Saccharomyces cerevisiae S288C: one gene and its partner. The protein of the gene in region 2 interacts with the protein of the main gene of each other region in a biochemical or structural test. Each region holds a gene or a part of one and is shown on either strand. Other genes may lie near its edges.

The links.
Region 1: the proteins of PEX3 (region 2) and INP1 form a complex in vitro, tested with the Saccharomyces cerevisiae proteins (4 studies listed by BioGRID).

The regions. Positions count from the first base shown.
Region 1 is NC_001145.3:669,563-672,878, forward strand, and holds INP1 (Inp1p), read right to left. Parts: upstream 1,764-3,316; coding exon 501-1,763; downstream 1-500. Other genes in the region: TOM complex pore protein TOM40, read left to right, coding at 1-93; PFK2 (6-phosphofructokinase subunit beta), read right to left, coding at 2,325-3,316. UniProt on the Saccharomyces cerevisiae protein: Required for peroxisome inheritance.
Region 2 is NC_001136.10:1,125,770-1,129,566, reverse strand, and holds PEX3 (Pex3p), read left to right. Parts: upstream 1-1,971; coding exon 1,972-3,297; downstream 3,298-3,797. Other genes in the region: DNA protein crosslink repair co-factor UBX5, read right to left, coding at 193-1,695; SCF ubiquitin ligase subunit SKP1, read left to right, coding at 3,549-3,797. UniProt on the Saccharomyces cerevisiae protein: Involved in peroxisome biosynthesis. Acts as a regulator of MSP1 by inhibiting the ability of MSP1 to unfold target proteins.

The DNA of each region.
Region 1 (3,316 bases), on a different chromosome or scaffold from region 2:
CAATTTGAAACTGCTGGTAATCAAGAATTACTAATGTTACAACAAGGTTTAGACGCAGATGGTAACCCATTGCAAGCTCTTCCTCAATTGTGAAAATCTTCCCTTGGCTTTTTTATGGTTGAATAAATAATCATTGTTTTTATCTTTCCTATGCTTTTTTTTTATTAATTTGTGTAACGACTTCTCCCTCCAGCATACGCTCCCAGACTTTTTTGTTTTTGTTTTAATATAAATAATTATGTATATACGTGGGCACCAAGTTGAGGGGGAATTCCTTGTTTATAGTTATGATACGTCTCATATCCTTGTCCTTACTTTCACAATGGTCTAAAATAAAAGACAAGAAAACAAAACTGCAAATATATTAAATTCTATTTTTCTTTTTTAGAAGAAGCTATTAATAATAGATCAAATGTTCCAGCCATTTATATTCACATTGTATACTCCTTCACTTTGGTTTACACCTACATTCATTTGTGCAGTTATGCTTTGAACTTCATTCAAAGGTCGCCAAGACCAGATATGGATCTCCTCTGAAATCTTCTATGCCTGTCCTGCAGATACGGGGGAGAGTCGATAAAAGGGTATGAACTATATCTTTTGTTTTGCTGTTTCGAATGAATACTTGGGGCTGCTATTGGAATATTCAGTACAGGAGCGGTTCGTCTGATAGCATTTTTGAAAGCTTCATTTATGGAGATTGACACGGCATCGGTAGGGTCGCTCGGATAGAGAAAGCTTGCATTTAGATTAGAGCAAGTGTTCGATATCACGGAGAAGCTATTATCTGTACATCCTTGTTCGTATTCTTCATCCAGCAAGTAATTAAGGTCGTCATCATCATAATTATCATCATCATCATCGTTATCATCATCATTATTAATTATTTCAGTATTGGGGGGCTCTATGTCCGAAGTAGGCGGCAGTTTGAATTTATCGCTCAAAGACTCATTATTCCCAATAGTAGCTCCTTCATTAATATGCGAAAATTGGCAAATTTTGCTAATGACGTTTTCAAAAGCTTTCACACTATTTTCCAACTCTGATTGGGATTGACTAATCAAAGGTAGAAATTCGATTTCCCAGTACCGTTCCGGATTATAAAAGCTAATAAAGTATTTGAAACCTGCGCCATTTAGCCTTGTTATTTGTAGTTTGGGTAGTACTGGATGCACAATATCACCATGTCGTCCTATCGATAAATAGTTTACTACATGCCCATCATGACTACTAGCTTTACTAGATTTTTGAAAGGGCGCTATATTTTCCTTTAACTTATCAAACCCTGTACATATCTGATATATTTCAATAGGTCCTTTTGCCATTAAAGATGTAGGTTTTAACTTAATAGTGTTTTGACTGTCTTGACTTTGCGTATCATTGAAGAATACTCCACTACTTTCAGTGACATTATTTGCGGATACTTGGGAATTTCTACGAATGCAACTGCTATTCGGAATATCATTATGAATGGGAACGAATGAATTCATAACCTGAACATTGCCATAGGTAAACAATGAAAATCTCTGAGTTGATATTCTTTTCCTTTGTGTTCCGGTTTTCTTCGAGGACGTGCCATTTTTTTTGGCTTTAACAGATTTATTTGTATCGTTTGAGTGTTGGGTCGAATCCTGTTTCAACTTTTTATTGTTGCTAAGTTTAAGTGACTGTTTTAAAGTTTGAAACGTAGATTGAGGTTTCTTTTCTTGTTTTGCCGTTAATCTCACGCTATTTTTCTTTGTTTCTCCCCTTGATAAAACCATACCACTTTGTTTAATTTCCTGAGAGTTATCAGACGAAAAATGTAGACCTTGTATCCTTCATAGGTGAAGGAATACTTCCTCCGTAATAAGGTAATTTAAAGTTCATAGTTCATTCACTCTTTTTGTTTACATCTCCGTTCTTCGTGATAAGTTCATAGATAATAAGAGAACAAAGTATTTAACGCACATGTATAAATATTGTATTAAAAGGGTACCTTTATAAATATGAGATCCGAGGGACGTTTATTGGAATTATCTTTTAAATCGTCTATATCACATATTCCAGTATACATAAGTTTTAATTTTAGAAAACGTTTAAATAAACAAAGAGAAAAAAAATAAGACACAAAAAATAACAGTATCTTTATTCTTGACATTCATAAAAATGCATGATAATATTGGTTTCATGGGGTAGTACTTGTATTATTAAAAGAAAGGAACAAAAAATTCATTGTTCAAAAGCTTAGAGATAAAAAAAAAGAATTATAGACACAAAAGAAAAACATGGGTTAACATTAATTGACATTAATAATAGAAAGTGTAATAAAAGGTCATTTTCTTTTAATCAACTCTCTTTCTTCCAACCAAATGGTCAGCAATGAGTCTGGTAGCTTGCCAGTGAATGACCTTTGGCATTCTCATGGAAACTTCAGTTTCATAGTCATACAATTGTCTAATGGAGTTGTAAACGACATGTGAACCCTTAACACCAACGACAGCAGCAGTGTCAGAAATGGTCTTGTCATCAGCGTTGAAGTTTTCTTCGGCAGCACGAGCTTCAGCAATGGCAGCTTGGTTGTCTTTGATGAAGCCGACAGCTTTAATGGCCATTCTAGTGGCTCTTGTTCTATCAATTGGAGATGGCAAACCACCTTGTTGTACATGACCTGGATAAGCTGGCTTAGCGTCAAATCTGCCATCGGCTTCAGCAGTAATAACTTCAGCCAATTTAGTGGCTGATAAAGCCTTAGAAGCGTTTGTACTCTTCAAAATCAATTTACCAAATCTACCTCTACCTTCTGCCTTTTCAAAAGATTGAGCTAAGTATTCAATATCCTCGGACAATTGCTCCAAAGAAATACCTTCTTCTGGGACATAAGAGACTTGAGCACCAACAGCCAAAGAAGCGTAAGTGGCCAAATAGCCTGAGTTACCACCTTGACAATCGACAACGAAGGCTCTACCTCTGGTTGAAGAAGCGGATTGTTTAACAACATCACAGTATTCCATTAGAGCATTCAAAGCGGTATCAGAACCCAAAGAGTATTCAGTACCTGGAACATTGTTAGACAAAGTAGCTGGTATCAAGACCATTGGGATTCTGAAAGCTGGATAACTTTCTCTTGCTCTCTCTAATTGATGTAAAGATTCAAAAGCTTCGAAACCACCAACGATGATCAAACCATCAAATTCGTACTTTTGGAAATAGTAAGCAATCATACCTAGATCTGCTTCTTCTGGAGTGACTCTGTTAGTACCGATTTCAGAACCACCACGGGATTGCCAACCCAACATATCCTTCCAGTTCAAAGAACGAACACTTTCATGTCTTG
Region 2 (3,797 bases):
GCTATGCTTAAATGTGATATATATTTTGTATTTACACCTATGAACTATTCCTTTACGTCTTTGTATGCGTTTTTTCTTATGTTTGGCGTGCTAATGGGAAAAAAATAAAAATACAATATCCGGGTATTTCCGTCGTGTTATAAGTGCTTACATACCTAATTACATCTAGGTACCTGCCACCATACAATTTGTTTATTCTATTTCAGGGTCAAGCTTCTCAAGTAGTAAAGAACTATTTTTTAAGCCGGCGTCCGCTATGGTCATGTTTAATTTATCAATCAAGTCCTCTCTTTGGTGATCATTTAGTGTGAATCTTGAATCGGCAAAACCATCCATTTCTGTCTTGATAACCTCGTAAATAGTACGCACAGTGTCTTCCAGAGCATTGAATCTACGAACTAGTCTGGAGCCATCACCGGTACGAATTTGAATTCTTGTAGTGATCCCTGGTTTATTTGGCGGTTCTGGATGCACCCTGGCTTCAATGGTACTGAATGGATCCGGTTCTTGTACTCGTTTCTGTTCTTCGCCAGTACTCGGCACTTCTTCTTGGTTTGATTTGCTCGAGTTATTATTTAATGACTCTTTAATGGCTAATTCCATTTGTTGCTCTTCGGTCAAAGTTGTTGGATCCACTTTAGGAAGAGGTTCATTAACCGTGGGATTAGGGACCTTTGGATCTAGCGAAAATGAGGCCAAAAACTCGTTGATTTCTGAGATGAATTGCTCTGGAATGGGAACAACCCTATTCCATTGCTTGACACGTTCACCGGTAATTGGATCCAGTATCGCGATATGGGGCAAATCATCCTTATTATTCAAGTGATAGAACTGAAGATAGGGTTGGGCATTACGTGATTCATATTGATACTGTAGGAAAACGAAGTTCTCTTTGATTATAGTTTTTACCGGTCTGGACGACCACAAATCCCTGTTGAGGGCTTGGCATTGGAAGATTCCTGAATCCTGAATGTTAATCATTATCCATTTTTGCTTTGCCCTTGCCTTTTGCTTTGCAGCGTCTAAGTCGAGTTTGGACATGATTGAAAATGGAGGCCTAAATAACAAAGCTAATTTCTGCTCCTTGGAAATGGTTTTAGGCTTTCTCACTAATTTGGTGTACTCCTTGATATTGCCGTCTTCATCAAGTTCGATGACCGGCTCTTCCACATACTCATATTCGTCGTCGTCATTTTCTTCCTCGGAGTCCAAGGAATCTGAAGAGTTGTCATTGATGTATGTATTAGTATTTGTGTCATCCAATCGTTGATTAAAAATGCTTTCAGGTCTTCCTTCGTCAAACATGTCGTTCACCCTATGCAATGGTTCAAATCTTCCGCCAATGCCGCCGTAAGAAATTGGGAATCCTGAAGTTTCAGTAAGTACTTCATGTCTTGCCTCATCAGGTGGCCTGACATAATCTTGGTCAGGCTGTTGTTGTTGGTAAGCTTCCCTTTGCAACCTCTCCGCTAATTGTGCATCGGCATCTGAATCTACAGAGGTGGGCGCCATAGGAGTCGAATTAGACGGAGTAGGTGTGTTGTTACTGCTCAGTAAAGCAGCCCCACCATTTTCGAAAAACAATGATATGGCTGTGTTCAAGTTCCCGTCTGCCATTTCGATGAATTGAGTGGCAATAGCAGCGTCATCAGCGCCAGTGATGGCCATAAATTCGTCTACTTTTCCCTCTGACATATAAAAGGTATGTTATTATTGCCACACGTCGTAGTCTATGCGTTTGTAGTGACACTATTGAGCGATCATAGCTAAGATGTCGTTAACAAGTAGTAGAGTTTGCGTGAATGTATGAATATTTCCCTTTTTCCTTAAAAATTCCTTGCATTTTGGTAATCGTGTGTAATGATAAGGGCGTTATTCGACTTATATGAGCATGGGGTATATTATTGAGGTAGTTAATACTAGTCATCGTAAAAGCAGAAGCACGAAACAAGGAGGCAAACCACTAAAAGGATGGCCCCAAATCAAAGATCACGTTCGCTTCTGCAGAGACATCGAGGAAAGGTACTCATTTCATTGACTGGAATAGCTGCTTTATTTACCACAGGGTCGGTGGTAGTGTTTTTCGTGAAGAGATGGTTGTATAAACAGCAGTTACGGATTACTGAGCAACACTTCATCAAAGAACAGATCAAAAGAAGGTTCGAGCAGACACAGGAAGACTCGTTGTACACAATATACGAGCTACTTCCTGTATGGAGAATGGTTTTGAATGAAAACGATTTGAATTTGGACAGCATCGTTACCCAATTAAAGGACCAAAAGAACCAGTTGACTAGAGCAAAGTCTAGTGAAAGCAGAGAAAGTTCGCCGTTAAAAAGTAAAGCTGAGTTGTGGAACGAGTTAGAACTAAAGAGTTTGATCAAGCTGGTGACAGTGACGTACACAGTATCGTCGCTGATTCTTTTAACAAGACTGCAACTAAATATCCTGACAAGAAACGAGTACCTGGACTCCGCAATAAAATTAACCATGCAGCAGGAAAACTGCAACAAACTACAGAATAGGTTCTATAACTGGGTTACATCGTGGTGGAGCGATCCGGAGGACAAAGCGGATGATGCAATGGTAATGGCAGCAAAAAAGTCAAAGAAAGAAGGCCAGGAAGTGTATATTAATGAGCAAGCTTTCCTATCACTATCATGGTGGATTCTTAACAAGGGGTGGTTGAGTTACAATGAAATAATTACAAATCAAATCGAAATTGAATTTGACGGCATACACCCAAGAGATACTCTAACGTTAGAAGAATTTAGTTCTCGTCTCACGAACATATTCCGGAACACGAATTCCCAAATATTCCAGCAAAATAATAATAACCTCACGTCTATTTTGCTTCCTAAAGATTCCAGTGGACAGGAGTTTCTTCTGTCACAGACGCTTGACGCGGATGCTTTAACAAGTTTTCACTCTAACACACTAGTTTTTAATCAATTGGTGAATGAACTGACCCAATGTATCGAAAGCACAGCAACATCCATAGTGTTAGAGTCTCTAATAAATGAATCATTCCATTTCATAATGAACAAGGTCGGCATAAAGACAATAGCCAAGAAAAAACCTGGCCAAGAAGATCAGCAACAGTATCAAATGGCAGTTTTCGCTATGTCGATGAAAGACTGTTGCCAAGAAATGCTTCAAACAACTGCCGGGTCTTCCCATAGCGGCAGCGTGAACGAATACCTGGCCACTCTGGATTCTGTGCAGCCGCTCGATGATCTGAGCGCCAGCGTATACAGCAACTTTGGCGTCTCCAGCTCGTTTTCCTTCAAGCCTTAATCTCTGAATAAGTACTGACACTCACACCAGAATATATATATATATAGCGTAATCTTTAATACAGTAAGTGTGCAATAGGTAACATGACATTACCCTGCAGCGATTTAACGGGCGTCTTGGAGAAAAGAAGAGAAAGGGAAGAAATAGGTTGATATATTGAGGGCAGAGAAAGTGATAGCCCAACGTTGGCAAAGATATAACAGAAAAGACGTTATAAACAATACAGGAATACTAACAAACGTAGCGCAGATATGGTGACTTCTAATGTTGTCCTAGTGAGTGGTGAGGGTGAACGATTCACCGTAGACAAGAAAATCGCGGAGAGATCCCTGCTATTGAAAAACTATCTGAACGATATGCATGACAGCAACCTACAAAACAACTCAGATTCAGAATCAGATTCAGACTCGGAAACGAACCACAAAAGCAAAGACAACAATAACGGTGACGACGACGATGAGGATGACGACGAGATTGTGATGCCCGTGCCCAATGTTCGG